Astyanax mexicanus: one gene and its partner. The protein of the gene in region 2 binds, or shares a complex with, the protein of the main gene of each other region. Links are inferred from orthologs where the notes say so. Each region holds a gene or a part of one and is shown on either strand. Other genes may lie near its edges.

What was found.
Region 1: phosphatidylinositol N-acetylglucosaminyltransferase subunit P (region 2) and zgc:162634 share a complex: the UniProt entries of both Homo sapiens proteins name them as parts of the glycosylphosphatidylinositol-N-acetylglucosaminyltransferase (GPI-GnT) complex. The link is inferred for Astyanax mexicanus from reciprocal best matches to the Homo sapiens genes PIGP and PIGY.

Annotation. Positions count from the first base shown.
Region 1 is NC_064417.1:17,142,681-17,151,623, forward strand, and holds zgc:162634 (phosphatidylinositol N-acetylglucosaminyltransferase subunit Y), read left to right. Parts: upstream 1-6,624; 5' UTR 6,625-6,774; coding exon 6,775-6,990; 3' UTR 6,991-7,137; downstream 7,138-8,943. Other genes in the region: uncharacterized protein si:ch211-176l24.4, read right to left, coding at 8,208-8,943. UniProt on the Homo sapiens protein: Part of the glycosylphosphatidylinositol-N-acetylglucosaminyltransferase (GPI-GnT) complex that catalyzes the transfer of N-acetylglucosamine from UDP-N-acetylglucosamine to phosphatidylinositol and participates in the first step of GPI biosynthesis.
Region 2 is NC_064427.1:35,145,774-35,156,886, forward strand, and holds phosphatidylinositol N-acetylglucosaminyltransferase subunit P, read right to left. Parts: upstream 5,314-11,113; 5' UTR 4,992-5,313; coding exon 4,910-4,991; intron 3,259-4,909; coding exon 3,186-3,258; intron 2,820-3,185; coding exon 2,701-2,819; intron 1,158-2,700; coding exon 1,024-1,157; 3' UTR 523-1,023; downstream 1-522. Other genes in the region: E3 ubiquitin-protein ligase TTC3, read left to right, coding at 6,348-6,355, 7,243-7,272, 9,535-9,613, 9,998-10,040, 10,990-11,113. UniProt on the Homo sapiens protein: Part of the glycosylphosphatidylinositol-N-acetylglucosaminyltransferase (GPI-GnT) complex that catalyzes the transfer of N-acetylglucosamine from UDP-N-acetylglucosamine to phosphatidylinositol and participates in the first step of GPI biosynthesis.

The sequences.
Region 1 (8,943 bases), on a different chromosome or scaffold from region 2:
TGCTAATCGCTAACCAGTGTTTATGACTAGCCAATTCTAATCGCTAGCAAGTGCTATCACTATGCTAAGGCAGGTCAGTTATTAAAAGCCCTAATGACATAGTGTGAAACAGTACATGAATTTTGTTGACTTTTAGACATTGCGTTGCTTAAATTATGTGCTTTAATGGTTTATAAATAGGTTGTTATATAGTTGGGAAATTCCTGTGACACATTTGGATCCATAACTTCTGAACCATAAGGCCTATTCTCAAGATTTTTTTAGACTTGTTAAACTATGTGACCGTGCTTGGACCGTCAATTGCCACTTGCGGCTATAGACCATTTCAGAGGAATATTTATGAGCGTACGAAGTGACGTAGCTGTTCCTAGGACACTTCCATTTAGCGGTAAACAGCGTTCAAAACAGTGGACGTATGAATGCAAACTTCACCTAATCTGAGAGTCACAAACATTGAAAATCAGGTCAAATTGTTCTTTAAACAAGTAAACTATGGAGGACCAAAAATTACATAAGTATAAATAAATATACATATAAATGTATAGATATATAAATACATAAAAGAATAAATAAATTAATGTTGAAATTAATAAATAAATAAATAAATGCACAAATAAATAAATAAATACGTGCACAAATAATTGTATAGGTAAATTAATTAATAAATACATTTCTTATTTATATATGTATTTATTCATTTATATGTGCATTTATTTATGTCAACATTTATTTATTTATTCATTTATTTATTTCTTGCAAAATATGCGCTCTCATTTTGAGAGCTGTATACTTGAAAATAGCGCCACCGGAAGCGTCGAAGGAACAGACATGCGCAGTAGCTTTGTTATTGTTTTCCTCATTAAAACGGCCTATATTTATTATTATTATTATTATTATTATTATTATTATTGTTATTATTATTGTTATTAAATTATAATGTCATAATTTACTGTTATTTATTTTTAAACTCTACAAATGTTTACACTTGTATGTGTCTACTGAATATTTGAAACTATTGAACTATAAAATATTGTACTATATTAAACTATTTATTTTGTTTAAGGAGTTTATTCTTTAAGTAAATTACATTTTTCAGTTACTGTCCCCAATAGGCCACGTTAACAAAATTTTCAGGATGGTATATTGTCCCAGAAATTATTACGATAAACAATAATATTATAATTTTAAAGCGCCACTATAGAAAATTCTTTTTCCTGCTTCTGGGCTCTCAAAGGTAATTTTAGACAATGTGCCACACTAATAATATACTAGCATAATATTATTACACCATTTTACAGTTAAACTAACTTTATATTATTAAGAGCAGACATTGGGCTCCCAATATAAAAATATTTTAATATCTTAAATAACTAAAACAAATAAAGTACACCCACCCTGGGTTCTGAAAAACTGCACTAAATATTAAACAGACCCTAATTCAAAAAATAAAGTAACAACAAATAGATTAAAGTAACATTTACATTAATTATTTTTTTAAAACTCTAAACACATGGGCACTTGCAGAATCATTTTTTCATGATATATGTATATGCTGTAAAACACACATTAGCTTAGTCCATATGATCAGAGACACACAGATAGCTCAGCAGGCCAGAACTTTTGCTATAAATATATTTTTTAATGTAACTGTCAGACTAATTCAGAGCAACAACAACAGGAGGAACAATTTTTTATATTAAACATTCAGTTGGATGAATTGGGCTGGATGGTTGTGCTTTAAATAAGATCTCATGTTAGTAATATTGCCCCCTTTTGTTTCCACTGTTGTGAAACCTTGTAAACATACCGGCTGATTCGCGCTGATGGTTCTCCTCGCTCATTTGGCTTAAAGCCAAAATACTCCCGCACCGGAGCCGTGGAATTCGGTTTTAAAACACAGCCCATCCCGGACTAAACTTCCTCAAACGTTCTCTAAAGCCGTTTAGTTTTAAGAAAGTCCAATTAGCCTCGAATACGTTCGCTATCTAACACATCTACACACACACTCTCCTCGCTGTGTGTGTGTGTGTGTGTGTGTGTGTGTGTGTGTGTGTGTGTGTGTGTGTGTGTGTGTGTGTGTAGCAGGACAGTCACGGCTCACTCTCACTGCTGCATAAACTCTGCGAGCACTCAGTTCCTAACCGATAGATGTCGCTGTCTGACGGATCCGGCGAGAGCCGGCCAGAGAGCAGCGGGACTCGCTCTCTCATGTAACTTAAACAAATCCCCTCGGACACGCGCGGCTCTTATCGACGTCGGCAAAATGATCGCGATAAAAAAATTCTCGTACGATAAGTCGATAACATAGTTATCGCGACAGGCCTAATATCATCATCACAAAAATACCCTGTAGCTAAATGGCCTACCAATGTATGTAACCAAGCTACTTCAACAGTTAACTAACTACATTAGATTTAAATAACTAAAATAGAATATGAACAGCTAATAGCTAAAAATAATGACTTATAACTTACTAACAGGTAATGTACTCACTATTTAGGTAATCTAAACCTATTTAATATTATGTTCAGTTATCTTTTACTATAGGCATCACATATTTTTAAGAAAATGTTACTGTAAGATGGTACTGAGTTGTGAAAGTAGATCTGTGCTGAGCTGTGAAATAGTAAATGTGGGTCATGTCTGACCAATATGTGTAAAACTGATGTAGAAATACAAAAGCTTCTTCATAAAATAAAAAAGAAAAGAAAAAGAAAATTTGTGCTAAAGAAACACTCAGCTATACATGAAGTTCCATAAAAAATTGAAGGTGGGTAATTTTTGACCCATGTGGGCATTAGAGGGGTAGTGATATCAAAAGGGCTTTTATTCAAAAAGTAAGTAAGGAAAAAATAAAAGAAGTATGTACTATGATGACTGATTTCAATAAATTATTTTTTTTCTATTGTACATGCTTTGCAGACTACTTGTGTGCATGTGTAAATTGTTTTACAGTTATGTGTCGGAATGAAATATTTCAATGATAAACTTATAATGCAATTTCTATTAAATTTTTAAGTTATCAAAACGTCATGCGTCATGATTCAGTAAAGTGCAATTATAACAGATTTCTTATATTCAGATGGTCACTGAAAAACAATACTACCAGTTTTGTAACAGGCAAGAATTTAAATATGGCACACACGCGCATGAAATAATGTTATATAGAGGTGGGAAATAAGCATAAATTTCAACAGACTGATAATGTGGAGTAAAAACAACTAGAAATATGTAGTACAGGCAATTTATTCTACTTCAAAATTGTATTAAATGCCAAGTTCAGAGGGTCATAATAAAAATGGTACAGTAATATACATTGTTGTTTAGGCTATTCACAGTATAGTAGTGCTGGGCGATATAACGATATCGATTTGTTTCGCGATAATTTTTCCCTCGATGACGATGATAAGCCTGTGCAATAGAATTCGATAAACATTCATTTCCATTTCCGTCTAAGTGGCGCGGCAAACAACGAAAACACAACGTGTAATCAATCCAGAAGACGCTGGAGCAAATTAATAAATAGTTAAGAAAATTGTAATAGTTATTCTCATGCATGCAACAAAAAACCCTAAAGAATAGTGGAGTATGGCCCGACACACGCAAACAACCATAGTGTTTGGACTTTGGGAATAAACGGCCGCACTGTTCAGCACGTTTTAAATAAATTTTAAGTAAATTTTAAGCACTAAATGTAATTAATTCAATTTATATTAGGACCTCGGGGCAGGTGCTGCAAAAATGTGTATGTGGGGCGCGGATTAAAGGAAGAGGTTTTTTTGCGGAGCGGTAACAGGACAAAAACACCTTAAGAATGATGTCTAAATGACTTTCCTCTAATCTAATATAATTTAACATGGTTTAAGGATATAAAATAATTTCTAAACAAACGAACTTTTTAATATTGAGCTTATGGCCCAAGTGCAAAAACACAAAATCATTTATCATTTAGATTATCTGCCTGAACGCGAGCCCGAACCCGAGCTTGAACGCCAGCCTGACTCAGGCGCTGCATGAACTCGGGCCGGTCGAGAACACCGCTTTCCTCTCAGATTAGGCGGAAGAAAATGGTCTTTTTTTTAATGTAACAAATCACACTGTGATTTTTGTGATATTTCCCCAATTACAGCTCAGCTGCGCGTTTAAAGCTCAACGCATGAATTAATCGGTGCGCTGTGCGCCGCGCGTGCTCGCGGGGGATTTGACGCGTCTGTCAAGCAAGTTAATGGACCGTTTTGGGGGCAGAGATTAAGAAGTACAGCAGGTACATCTCAGATTTGTAGTTTAATGCTCTACTAAATTACTGGCTTTAAAACTGGCTCATGATATGGTCGGTTCTGGCTGGATTTTTTCCTGCCTACAGGCTGCATTTGACGGAAAGCAGCTCCTCAGTCAGACAACAGTGTCAGCATACAAATCGTGTGCGTTTCCTACAGGACAAACCATTTAAAAGTGCAGATAAACTCATTAAAAAATCACACAGTGTCTGTCTGGCTTAAAATACTTTTAATAAGGTACAGCTTTTAAATTAATAAATCAACATTCATTAAAAATCCGTGAGAAGTTCTGTATGCTAAATGACAAGCTAAGCTAATAAGCTAATAACATTTAATAATAACAGAAAAATAGATATGAATTTGGAAAATAACCAACTAAAGTGAGCTCAAAATACAATAATAAATATAATCTAACGAATTTCAAAATATAAATTAGAAATATTGAACTTCAATATTAAATTCAACTTCAACTACAAAAAACGCAAGGACCGATAGAACATAACGAACAGAAAAAAATAAATTTGAAATTGGAAAAAAAGTTCAAAATGCTAAAAGAAATAAAACCTAACGAATTTCAGAATATAAAATCTAAATATTGCACTGCAGCAGTACAAAAGCCTAAGTGCTTAAACAAACAAACCAAAAAACAGCCTATCACAAATCATTTTTTGAGCCCGACCCAGCTGAGGAAAAGGTGGGAAATCTTTTTTTTTCCGGCTGGGTCTTGGAAAACTTTGTGGTGAATTAAAGGGGCCGAGTTGCAATTTTTGTTTTACTTTAATCAGTTTTTAATCCGTCTTTTTAAAAACAAATATTCCAATATTGGCTGCCAATCAGTGCCCAATATTCTGAGCTCAAAAAACGCTATTCGGGCCAGCCCTACTAATCTAATATAATTTAACATGGTTTAAGAATATAAAATAATTTCTAAACAAACGAAATATTTAATATTGAGCTTATAGCCCAAGTTTTTTTTTCAGTCATGGAAAATTGGAAAAAATTGGAAAAAAGCCCGAGTTCATGCAGCGCCTGAGTCAGGCTGACGTTCAAGCTCGGGTTCTGGCTCGCGTTCATGATTAATTTGTTTTTTTTAAAAACTAATATTGGAATATTCGCTACCAATTACTGCCAAATATCCGGAGCTCAAAAAATGCTATTCGGGCCAGCCCTAATAATTATGGAGATACAGAAAAAAATATTGTGATAAAACTTCCATCACTCCCTTATTCTCTCACTAATAAAAACAAACCTTTAAGTGTGACACAAAGTGATTTGATTTATATCGTGATACATATCGATATCGACTGATATGGAAAACTATATCGTGATAAGATTTTTTCCCATATCGCCCAGCTCTACAGTATAGTAGTTCTATTTTCATAATTTGGTGTCAACTTCAATAGACTCTGATAATCTGGAGTTAAGGCAGATAGATATATGCAGAACAGGCAATTTATTGTCCTTTAATCTTCTCAAATGCCAAGATTAAAGGGTCATAATAAACAAATATTGTACAGTAATATGTCTACTTCTTTAAGCTTTTCACTGTATACTAGTTTTATTTTCATAATTTGGTGTCAAATTCAATAGATTCTTTGATAATCTGGAGTTAGGGCAGCTACAAATATGCAGAACAGGCAATTTATTGTCCTTTAATCTTCACAAATGCCAAGTTCAGAGGGTCATAATAAATAATGGTACAGTAATATTTCTAGTTCTTTAGGCTTTTCACAGTATACTAGTTCATTTACATTCAAACATAAATGCAGAACAGGCTATTTATTCTAATTTATGAGCCCAATCTTGCTCTCTACTGACGAATCATTGGCATTTCGACTTTTTAAGGTGGACCGGAAAATCCGAATAAGACACTGGCAAATAAGACGCTAACTCCGTCCTCGTGTACTACTGTTGCATACTACCTACTACTGCTGCACTGCTGCTGTACTACTACTGCTGTACTACTACTGCTGTACTACTACTACTTTATGTTTGATTATACCGCATTATACAAGACACATGAGACCTATTCAATGAATTCAGGCGATCTTCCTTTCAGTCAATTTGGAACAAACCTGATCCAGGTACCTACGTCCTAAAGACTGCTGAACTGTCTGGTTAAGGTGTATTAAGAAATTAGAAATGGAGAAAAATCACTATTACAGTTATTCTTTTTATTGTTCTCTGCAACTGTATTACATTGTAGAATTCTTGCATAGTGTAATGTTTTATTATTTTTAATAAAAGTATTTATTATAAACAATTGTTTTCATTTTTCTTTTTTAGGTACAACAAAGAAACAAATGAATTAATCAATGAAGAGCTTGGCATTGCCTATCCTATTATTGATGGTATTCCTAACATGATTCCTCAAGATGCAAAGCTGATCAAGAAGGCTGAGGGAATTGAAGAGCCCACCCAGTCATAGGTGGAACTACAGCATAAGCCGAGTGCAGTTGTTTATTATATTACATTTGCAGTAAACATCTAAGCCATAATGCTATTTTCTCTGTCAACTGTCACTGTGATAGTACCAATTTTGTCCTTAATTGGACTAATGTATTCTGCAAGTGTGGATGAAAATTTCCCCCAGGGCTGTACCGGCTCAAACAGTGTGTGTTTCTATAGTCTCTTGTTGCCGGTCACTATTCCTGTGTACGTGTTCTTTCATCTGTGGAAATGGATGGGAATCAAGCTGTTTAGACACAATTAGAATGTTTGTTTAATCAGAAGGGTAAATAAAATTCTATGCAGACATAAGTGATTTAAATTTGTATTTTTAAGAACGTTAAAACTTTGTGTTTGTGATTGACTAGATGGGTTACAAAATAAATAAACATATGACTATATTTTACCACTATTCATTGTATTAATCCCAATTCATTTATTTCAGATGTTTGTAACGGTTTAATTCAGCCCGTGCCTAGACACACAAACACGCTATATAACAGAAATAACCGCCTGTTCTTTTATTGTTTCTTCCATAATCAATGGTGTTAAACGTTTTTATAATTATTATTATTTTTAAGAGGAACTGGCTCAACTATCCATGAAGGTCTTTGTACTAAAGTTTGAAGCATTACTATAGGTGTTTATTTGCAATTCAGTAATATGCAATAGTGAGGTCAGAATGTTGAATGATTAACACATCACTTAATCCCAAAAATGTAGCATTACATATAGACAAATTCTTGTATGTGCCCTAAATATTTTGCTCAAATATTTATTAAACCTGTGTGATGCTGATAAATGTTTAAAGTTACCCTGCAATAATGATTTTTTTAATATAATTGCACCCCTAAAATATACATGCAAAAGCTATTTATCTGAGCAGTAAACACATCGAAAGTACAAAGCACTCCTTGAAAAAAATCAATGCCTGATATAACAAATGCTTCATTTAATGAAACCTCCATGTCCATAATCAGGAACCATATTCCAATCACTACAACTAATGAGCCATTCTTCTCAAATTCTACTGTAAATTTTTGCATTTCTCAATGTTGTATGGTTCAAAGCTTTTACAAACAAAACAGATTTACTGCTTAGATAAACACTTATAAATGCTTTTGTAGTAATTTAAAACTTTCTCTTGTACAAAATTGTCAACATGACAGGAAGAGGAAAATACACTGGCTTAACTTTTAACTCAATTAAATGTAAAAAAAAGGTTTTATTCAAAGACATTTTGGAGCATTTTATTTGTCCAATATTTGTGAAAATGTGCCACAATGTAAATAACGGCCAGGTTTAAATTATGTCAAAAAGTGAAAAACAGCAACAAAAAAAAATGCACCACAGCAACGATAAATGTATGTGTGCATATATATTATACAGTGAACACACTAAAGAGAACAAAAAGAACCTGTATTGCTAATCCTAACAAACAGTTCCAGATGCTTTCACTATAATTCTTTTCATAAATCAGGTTCACTTCTTTAGCTTCTTATCAGCACTTCCAGTCAACATCATCAAAGGTGACCTTGCCTTTGGCGATTCTCCTTCTCCCTTCACCCTGAAGAAGAAGGACTCATTGAGCCGTGTCTGAATCACCTTCAAATGAGATAGGTCTGCTCTGCTCTTTAAAGGAATGTCACTCTCATCACTTGAAGTCAGATCTGTTATCTTTAGCTCTGAACAACTCTGATGTTCCACTGGTTTACTGATGCACTGATCTAGGTGCACTTCTTGCCTGGTTCTTTTGGGTAGGCTCAAGTCTATCGGTTCTTCAGTACATATGGATGCTCTGCTCTTATGATGAAACCTGAGAGAGCCAGCAAGCCCCGGAGAAGTGAAGAAGTTTTCAGTTTGAACAGAAGCTTCAGCCGTCTGCTTGCATGATGGGGTCTCCTGTGATGCTTGTCTGTACTTTATGTTGTTCTGGTATGGTGGAACAGCAACACCCTCATCAGTGCTGGGGCTTCTGGAGATGTCTTCATGCAGCTCAGAGAAGAACTTCTGTGTGATGAACAAATCTTGGCTGTTGATGTATTCAGGTGTAATTTGGATCTCTGCACTCTTTTCTTCAAAAGTTGATCGGTTGTGGCTGTTCTCAGTGATAGGAGTGTGTGATTTATCTGTCAAGTAAGGCTGTGTGTGAAATGTAGGATATTGTTTTGAGGTATTCAGGATCTCTTCAGGTGATAATTTGAACTTGACTGTTTTC
Region 2 (11,113 bases):
CGAAGGTAAGTACTTTTTATCATGTTTTACCACACCAAAAGTCCATTTTACACCAGAGTTCTCCTTTAAAAATGAGGTCAAAGAAATGAAGGAAACAAACTAAAGACTCGATCGTGGATTAATAACTTTAGTATGCCAAAAATTAAAGTATAGGCTTATATAGTGAGCTAGAATTTATTCTCAGGGATGAGCCGAGCAGTCAGCTACTGAAACCCCTTGATAGCCCCTGTGATGCTATAGAAGATGAAACCAAAACTTCACATGCAGCATTGTTCTTTTGTACATCTCTTTATGTATGAATTTAGCCAAAGAAGAAAATTAGAATATTATAAAAAAAAAAGGGGGAAAAAAAAGGAAGAAAACACATGTTGAGGAAGAGTTTTAATCTTAACTTACTACTCCCTATATAGTGTACTATATGAGTCAAAAATATAGAACCTAAACAAAGCAGTATTTATTTAACAGAATAGAATGTGGAAATCTAAAAAAATGGTATTTGTGATTCAAAAAGAAAAAAGCATGTACTGTGCTGTTTTTTTTAATTGGAGCATTTCTAGTTTTGACACAATACAAGAATAAATAACAGATTCAGCAGCAAAACAATTACATCATTTGATATTTTAGCATTTATTTAGCATTTATTAAAAAAACAAAAAAAAAACAAGAAACCAGCCACTTTCAAAGCTGCAAAACCAGACAAAAAGATCCTGAGCGGCTTTTGTGAGCAATCACTTTTACTTCTCCATGAAAGCAGCCCATCTACCTGACGCAGGTTTTTCAGCACAGCAGTCTCTGGGGGTCCTCTCTGGAGGTCATGTGATTAGCACACCATCAGAACCTCCAGGGTTCATCCTAGAGTCAAATGCCTGTCCTGTCATGAGTGAGTGATGGAAAAGGTGCATCTAAAACCTCAGCAAACTCCAGAGGCCTGGGCTGACGACAACCGATACTGGATGCTGGCCGTCTGTATGGATCAATGCAGATCAGAAATTTGGGGACACGAGGCATCATGTCAGAATGCACTCAGGTTCTAGGGTCCTGGAGTTCATGTTGTGAGAGATAGAAGCGACGGTTGACTTCACTGATGGGTACGTCCCGCAGTCGGGGAATAGCTTCTTCCTGAGAAGACACCCCACGCTGACTCTTAGCATAGCGATCTACAGAAGAATCAAAATAAATTAATCAATAAATAACAAAATAGACAATATTAAGTTATCTATTAAAAAATGTTTCTGTTTTTAATTTTATGAATTTTAAATATTTTATGCCACCAACTTCCATGACTTCTCCATAATCCTTTAATAAGGACATTTATTAATAAGTAAAGTTATTGTTTTTAGGGATGCACAGATGTAGGAATTCTGGGCCGATATTAGATTGTACACATTTACCTTTCTAACTATGCAATGCCAATGCAGATATACATAATTATAACCTACAGAGAGACTAGAGTTACCAGTATAACTTTACAGCATTAAAAATAATAAAAAATAAATACAAACTAATGTCACTGTAATTCTAAATTTTATTTAAGTTAAAACAAATAGTAATTTTCGGTAGAGAATATACATGTCCAACTTTAATATAAAATTACTATTTAGGGAGATTAAAGGTTGGCAGATACAGAACCTACGGCAACAATTTTCTGAAGGGATCAATTCTCTAATTCTATTTTCTACTAAGAAATAAACCGCATGGGACATCTGACCTGGTGTGTGTAAAGTTTTGCATGAGCTTCTATATTTTACATAACATTTACATGAGAGCAGCATTTAGTTTTGAACTGGCTAGAAGTAGATCATTCAGTTTTCAGTTCTTCTCCAGTTTCTCTGAATCACTATATCACTTCTCTGTATATACATTGTTTGTCTGCACTTTTTTACTTTCTAAATGAATAAAGTAAATGTGAAAGGTGCTGCAAACCATGGTGAGCACCGACAGGCCAACATTTGGTCTAACCAAGAGCAGGCTATTCTCATCATTTCCACATATTAAAAGTAATGACTGATCAACAGAATAGTAGATATTTGTATCTATATAAATATCTACTATAACAATAATGGTAAAATTGGGAAAGCTGAATTGTATGTATATTATATACATAAATGTCATAGATATAAAATTACATAACATTATACATTAAAATGCTAGTATTTTCATGTATTTGTGTGTATTTTTTATATTTATTGTGGTGTGTTTTTCCAACAAATGATTGTAATATCTCAGCTGATGCTTTTAAACTAGAACAAATGATTGTGCTGAGTAAAAGTAAAAAAAGAGCTTTAAGAGAGGAGGGCAGCAGGCCTGTAAGTGCGCACATGGATGTGTTTTAGAGAGAGCACAAGAGCGAGAGCATGCTCTTGAGAGAGAGAAATTGTGTGTTTGTGTGTGTGTGTGTGTGTGTGTGTGAGAGAGAGAGAGATGCAGTAAGAGTTAGTTATAAGATTGAATGCATATTTCAGCATAAACAGAAAGTAACCCATCTACCTTCTGAACTAGTGATGTAGTGATGCTGTTTACAATTCTAAATATAGCCAATATGCTTAAACATCACCATGCTTTATAAAACTAATATGATTAACTTGTGTTTAAAAAACATAAAAAATTCAAAGTTTTCAGAAACTTTGAGGGCCTCTAGAAAGAAGACCCCGGTTGCCACTTCTAATATTATTACAGCTGTGGAGAAACCCAACCTCATACCTGTGATGTTGTTCACAGAACACAGAGGAGCAGTGTTCATCATATTGACTCCAAACAGCAGCACGAAACACACTGCTAAAGCAACCAACAGGTAGATCGGAATAGCAAGAGCCCAGTACCTGCAGACAAATCAGTGTCCCTTATTAATCATTTTGTAATTTTGACATTCAGTTCCAATTTACAAAAGCGAGCATATAAATTGTCAAAAAAGTTTATTAGCTGAAAACAAAGTCTCTTTGATGCATAATGCCTAATTTAAGAGTAACTTAAATAATGTCTATGTTGCAGAAGATATTGCTTAAAAGGTGAGTTCTTTAACAGTATAATGACCCAAAACACACAGCTAAAAATATCCAAGGATGGCTGAGAGCAAAGCACTGAACAGTTCAGAGGAGACCTTCTATGAACCTTCCTGATCTTAAATAAATTTTATATATAAAAAAAAAAACATAAATCCAGACTATCTAAGGACATGATTCACATACTTCTGAGGCCAGTACGTCAATCCAATAGAGTGGAGCCAGGACTCAGGAACATACGCCCATACTAAATACAGCACTGTGAGAAAACAACATGAACACATTAGTTGGCTTTATTATTAATGAACATTTATATGGCAAGGAAAGCATTATAGCCCACAATTACACCAGCAATAACAAAAGTCCTGACTTATTTTGTACCAGTAATATCATATTTAGATTCACATACAGTCAATATAACTTTGACTAGTTATATGGGATTTGCATGGGATTTAACACTATCTTAACTATAATTAACTTTTGTTCAAGTAAAAACTGTAATTAAATATACAATACAATATACAAAATGGTCACATCCAGCCTTTTGGCTTTCAATACCTGGCACTTCATATATCCACCTCAGAAATTGAACCGGACTTCACTGCTTCACATTTTTTCTGCTTAACTGTAGTATCTATTCTTATCAGTAACACCTTATCCAAACCATATAATTACAACTTTTTTGAGGCAATTTTTTTTGTTGATCTATATTTTTTTATTGTTACATTGTCTTGTATTTTTGAACACACACACACACACACACACACACACACAGACACACACACACAAAACTGCCTTTTGGGAAAATTAATTACCCACCTCTGCTATAATTTCTGACAGTACAAACAGTTCTTATCAATAATGTTAGATTGCATGTAAACCCAAGGTAAATCAACCCACAAACATTTTATTTTATATACATATCCTCCTGGTAATATGAAGAGTCAGCGCTTTATAGATCTTTAGATTTGATATTATTGGTTAATATTGTAAAGCTGATATCTGAAATGAGTTTTGATTACTAAAATTATGTAATTTTAGGCTAAAACAACCTACTTGCCGTACATTTCAACACTGTGCATTTTAACTGTTTACTTTTAATACCCTTAAAATACATACAGTATCTCATAAACGTGAGTGCACCTCTTACATTTTTGTATATATATTTTTTACCTTTACAAGGGAAAATAATGAAGATATGACACTTTGACAATTGCAACGTGTACTGTGATATTATAACCCTAAAGGGACGTAACAGTAGTAGATTTTATCCTGGCGTAAAATGTTTGTCATCTGACGTTATGACCAACATTTAACCTAAAATTTCTATTGATGTTGGTGGCCAGCTAGGAAAGCATTGACCCTCCAACCTCCAGGAACTGGGCTGCATGGCAGTTTATAACAACAACAAAAAAACAACCCCTAACACACCTCCAAAATGACCACCACCGCTTTGCTGAGGAAACTGAAGCTGAATGGCTCCAGACCTAAACCCTATTGAGCATCTGTGGGGCATCCTCAAATGGAGCTGTGGTAAACTCCATGCCCAAAAGAGTTAGGACAGTGCAGGAAAATAATGTCCACACAAAATAGTGACACTTTGGGAACAATTTGGCCAATTGTAATACTTACTCTTGTTACCAGCTGTTTAGACATTAATGGCTGTGTGTTGAGTTATTCTGAGGGCACAGCAAATTTACACTGCACTTTTATACAAGCTGTACACTGGCTCTTTTATATTGTATCAAAGTGTCATATCTTTAGTGTTGTCACATGAACAGTTATAATAAAATATTTTTGTGTAGGGTGATACTCCCTTAGCTAACTATGTGAGGTACTGCAGCTAGCTAACACTAGTAAAATGAAGATGAAGAGAAGTATCATTAGTTTCATTAAGAAGTGACACTTACAAAAGCCAAACTGTGATCCCAGGAACAGCACAAACCCATAAATAGCTCTCTCAGGCACCGGAGATGGAGAGTTTTCTACCATGATTATAGTGACTAATGTGATATATAGCTAACTATATAACCTAACGTTGTTAACTTAGCTAAGCTAGCTAACCAAGCTAATACAGCAGAACACAGCACTGCCCTAAATGAGTTAGGTAGCTAAAGCTACAGCTAGCTGGTTAGCATGGCTGAAATTTCACCACAAAAACAACAGATAAAAATAAACTTTAGCTAGCGAGCGTTAAACGTGTCTAAATTAATTTTTAATATGTCTTAAATTAACTGGATTTAAATATGTGTAAAACCACCTCTTAAAACAAACCTCTTCCCTTTTAAAGCTAGCTACAGTACACAGGGTACATCCAGATACCACACAGTGAAGTCTACTATATATAAGACTCTAAAATACCACAGCAGTGAACCTCTTAGTGCACTTAAAGAAGTGCACTAGAGTGTGCGGTTTCAGATATACCCTTTCTACAGTCGTGGAGCACGGGCCCTCCACTACAGGCTAGTTAACTACTGCCATCTTTAGGTTTGGAGCAGAACCACGCTGCATATACAGCTCTTAAAAACCTTAAGAGACCACTTCAATTTCTGAATCAGTTTCTCTGATTTTGCTATTTATAGGTATATGTTCGAGTAAAATGAACGTTTTTGTTTTATTCTATAAACTACGTCCAACATTTCTCCCAAATTCCAAATAAAAATATTGTCATTTAAAACATTTATTTGCAGAAACTAAGAAAAGCCTGAAGTAGCAAAAAAGATGCAGAGCTTTCACAGCTCAAGTAATGCAAAGAAAACAAGTTCATATTCATGAAACATTAGGAGTTTATAAATCAATATTTGGTGGAATAACCTTTAATTACAGTTTTTATGCATCTTGGCATGTTCTTCTCCACCAGTCGTACACATTGCTTTTGGATAGCTTTATGCCACTCCTGGTACAAAAATTCAAGCAGTTCAGCTTGGTTTGATGGCTTGATGGATCCTCTGTCTTCCTCTTGATTATATTCCAGAGGTTTTTAATTTGGGAAAATTAAAGAAACTCATACTTTTGAGAGGTCTCTTATTTTTCCCAGTGCTGTACTCATCAGACTGTGACTGTCCTATCAATTCTAGTAAAACAAAATAAAAGCAGTTGCAGTGTTTTAAATAGAAAATCATTGTGTTTCTCATAAAACAGACTAATACAATACTTTTAAATAATAAGGGCCGAGTCATTTATATATTTGACAGGGTTTTTATTGTCCTTTGTGTGTGAAATAAGCGGCAGAGGGCAGTGTCTCCTGTTTACACTGCGGGCTGTCTCGGCGGAGCTGCTATAGTCTGAGGTAGGAGTTCGTGGCTCTATGTTTCAGGAAATCTTCCCCCACCCAGGAGACCGTAACTTATGGACAGGTTTGTTGAATATCTGACTTATTTCATGGTGAAAATTGTGGCGGGAGTATTGTTTTACACGGCTGTGTGCAGCTGCTGTGACTTTCCAAACTTACCGAGGATAAAAACGCGGGATCGCGGCTGTCGGGTGGACCGTAGGGCTAAAAGCTTGTGGGTCGGTGGTATGTCGAAATTTGCTACCCGTCAACATGTGCGAGTAGACTGTACTGCGCATGTGCGGTCAGATATTTTTTTGTGTGTATGTAAAATATTTTATATAATTAATTTTAATGCGCTTTTTTAAGGATGATTCTGTTTTACTCGGATTACGCGCATAAGCTATACAATTTGAATTTGTTGTCATTATTTTGATATCATTTGATTATTTGATAAAAGTATATAAAGTGTCTCAAATTTAAATAATAAAGTGATTTAACGTTAGGCCATCTAAGTGAATATTTTTTTCTACAGCTAGTAACTTCTGCTTGAACATTGTTTTTGATATGATTCCTTTAGCCTTAACCTAAATATTTTAAATGATATGTTTCATACCCTATGGTTAACACGTTCTGACACGGTTGCATAAATCGACAAAACACCAGAGAGAGCTGGTTAGCTAGCTTAGTTTAAGTAAGTTAACTACACTACGTTTGTGAATTATGATATCTAAGAGCAGAATGATATGGGGTAGGTTGTGCATCTAATCTAATGTTAAGAAGTGAGGCAGGTTTATTTCTAGTGCCCGATCTTAAGTTTTGGTCTAACGTAGACCTTCCGCTGGTAAACCTCCTTTGTGAACTGACCTACCTCACTAACAGACAGTACAGTACAGTACAGCAGCCGTTAGCTTAGCTTAGCTTAGCTTAGCGTAGTCTGCTAACGCTAACTGAAGCTCTTTACTTCTACAGACATTCACATCTGGACTGCTGTAGTTGTGGGTAAGGAAGCTTATGTTTCTAATCTAACGCTAACTATATGTTTTTTTCTGATATGAACCTCTCGAATTTTACAGAAGAACAACAAAAATACGACATAAGTAGCTGCCTGTTACTCAGGCTAAAGTTAATAGATAGAAACTCATTCTAACGCAGATTTACTAGTAGAAACACTTATTTCGGATATTAGCTCTAAAATAATTACTATATAACATAATTTTTCAGCTAAATCTGTTTAAAGTAGTCGTATTATTAGGACAACAAATTCTTAATGTAGCTAGGTTAGCTAGTTAGTTTTCTAACAAGTCAAGTCAAGAGGCCTTTATAGTCATTACATCTGAGTACAAGTAACTTTACACTGTGTAACGAAAGTACTTTAGTTAAATTAACTAGCTTAGCTGTTTACTTCACTAATTTAGGTTAACAAATGTTTGACTATTCACGTGTTACCACTGATTTACATAGATGATTTTTGCTCTCTTAGCTATTTATAATTATATTTTACTAGTGTCAGTTGATTAAAACAGTTAATAAAAAGAATCACGATATAATTCTGTCATTAATCATGATTAATCACACTTTTTCTTCCTCAAGACTAAACTTTTGATAATGTGTATTTAAATGTGAACAAAATAATCAGTTAGAAACACCTACATTTTTATTATGGGTGTCATTCTGTGAGTAAATGATGAATAAAATCATGATTACATGTTTATAAATGCTGGTAGTTAGCTATATTTTGTTTTACTTTTTTTACTGTATTGTTATATTTCAGTGTAGCTTTAATGCTTTTTAAACTAAAATATTGTGATTTTCTGAGTTAGAGTTTAACTGAAAGATTTAATGGATAAAATAAACGCTAGTGTAGCTCCATATTCCACTTTCAACAGCTTGAAAAGAGGAAACGTGCCATCAGCTGTGTGTGTGTGTGTGTGTTCATCATAAATAAAAGATAATTTACCTTCTGAACTCAACAGTGAGCGTTGCTGTGATATATTGCTAATAAAACTGCTAATGTGTCACTGGGGGCTGTCAATTTTGTCACATGATTAATTAGCATTAAAACAAATTAAGTTTACAAACAAAATAAGTTTTCATATTAACTGCATGTGTTAACTCTTTAATGCCACACTAACGCTAAGAATAATTATATATATATTGTTTTTACTATTAGAAAATAATTGCCAGGCGCCGAGTGGTCCAGCGGTCTAAAGCGCTGTCACTATGAGCGGGAGGTCGCAGGTTCGAACCCCACATCTCTCCTCACATCTCTTCTAGGGTGATGTCCACAGCACAGGGCGTCTGTGAGATGATGTATCAGAACCGAGTCGCTCCGCTTTCCTCCGAGCGCGCTGTGATGCTACTCTGCAAAGATGCATCAGCAGCAGCTCGAAAAGAAGCGGTGGCTGACTTCACATGTATCGGAGGAAGCATGTATTAGTCTTCACCCTCCTGGTGTGTTGGGGCATTACTAGTGATAGGGGGAGTCCTAATGAGTGGGTTGGGTAAATGGCAGTGTAAATTGAGGGGAAAATGGGAAAATTTTGAAATAAAATTAAAAAAAAAAAAAAAAAAAAAGAAGAAAATAATTCCACATATCTCCACTGTAATTCTGCCTAGTAAAGCTCAGGTACACATCTGTAAACCGTTGGTGTAGCGCAGTGGATAACACCACCTCCTGTTTGTGAGCTACCACATTTTGTAGGAGACTGGGGTTCAATTCCAGGTCTGGGTGACTATGCTGAGCTTCACCAATAAGTCCCTGGGTCCTAATCTATAATGTTGAAGAGACTAGTAAAAAAGTGTATTTCTACTAAATCTATAAAATATAGCTTTTTAAACATCTACAATTTGAATTTTATTGCTAATAATAATATTATTGATATTTTTAGAGGTGAGTAACCCAGGCATAGAGATTAAAAATCAATTTCTAGTGTTGTGTCCCAGCAGAGCAGAGCACAAGAGCTGCAGAGCTCGGATGAATTTTTAACTTCCTGTACCTGTGTTACCCACCTCTAGATATTTAAAACATATCACAGGGAGTTACTTTAGCTGGCTGGCTTAGCTTAGCAGGCCGAACAGTTAAGTTAAGTTCCACACTTAGAATCTGTTTTTTGTGTCGATTATGTTGGCCAGGTTAAGGTAAGAACCTCTGAGAGAGCATCTGTTCACTCTTCCATGAACTTTGTGCTCATTCCCAAAATGTTCCCAATCAGAGATAAAGTCTGACTTTCTTGTAAACTCTGCATCTTCTGTGTGTTTTAGGCTTCTGCCCACAATGTTGGAGTCTGACGATTCAGATATTGAGGACGGTCCTGATGTGGTCCGACACAAGACCAAAATTGTAAGTGCGAAGACGCAGACCAGATTACATATATATTTTTTGAACAAACATATATTTTTACTGTAACATCACAGTATACAAACACAAAGTTTGTATGATGAGATATGATATAATGAGATGAGATATAAAACAGGCAACAAAGGCATTTATATAATTGTATAAACATTACACAATTTCTGTTATGAATAAATCAATGTAAGTAATAGTTAGTATGGTACGTACATTTTGGTTCTAATTTAAGGAAGAACTTATTATACAACCACAGGAAGTTTGAAGAAGGAAGTGAAATGTCAGTGTAAAATTAAATGTGTCTGAGCTATCAAAGATGCCAAAAGAAAATTGTCTTCTCTAGCTAATTTCTGATTATTTATTTTTTCCTTATAGATTTACCAGAACACCTTTCCATACATTCACATGGAACCACCTGGTAAGATTATTCCCTCCTGTTTTAATGTATATGTAATAAATTACTGTCTTAAAATACTGTTTTTGCCATTTTTACTTTTGTTATGATTAAAATCAGCTACTTATTCTTTGAATTCTTCGCATTTTGTAAAAACAATTGGAAAAATGGAAATGCAGCAAAATTGGCTTGATTCAAATCATTTTACATAACTTTTATTTCCATTTTGTTTGTTTAAAACATGCTATTATCTTATGGCTATGTGAGAACAGAAAGATGAGAAGAGGGGAACTCAGAGAACTTTGGACTGAAGTTTGGACAGCTTCAGCTTGTCGTAGGAAGCAAGCCCTCCTTCTCCTTTAAGTAGAGTGAGGAAGGAGAGATGGAATAAAAAAGGAACAAGAGAGGGGGTGGTGGAGGGTTGCGAAAACATCTAAAATCCTTACAACAACACAAAGTCAAGAAGTGTTTTTTTTTTTTTTTTTAAATCATCTTGTATAAGGTATAAGATACCTGTACAGTTTCCATTTTTGAGATACAGGGTTTTTGTGTGACAGGGACGATTAGTACTTTATGCAGTTAAAGTTAAAGAACCAACGTGTCCTACTGCACAAAGAGCTACTTAACCCTAAACCATTTTTTTTCATTAATAGCTAAAATTTGTTCCTTTTAAACTAATAAAACGTACCAGTCCTGCATAGAATTATTATAAACATTTCCTAAGCTTTAAACAATTATTTTATTGTGGTAATTTCTGCTTCTGCAGGGCCCTCTCATGCCTTACCTCTAAACCCATACATCACCCAGTGCCCCTCCCAAACTACTCCTCCTATTTTTTTTAAAGCCTTTTTCACATTTGAGCTGAGGGTGAAGTCAGCGAAAGTCAGGGGGTTTAGTAGCCAGTTAAAGAGTGAAGTTGGTGATTTATTATGCTGTATATTCATGTATTCATGTTTTTTTGTGATGAATGTAGACGTCCTGTATGAGCGTTGGGCTAGAATAAAGCTGGAGGTGAGGGAGGCTGTTGGACACATGATGCACATCTCTGTGTTCTGGTGGCACATTCTGTTCCGGCAGCAAGACAATCACGACACCAC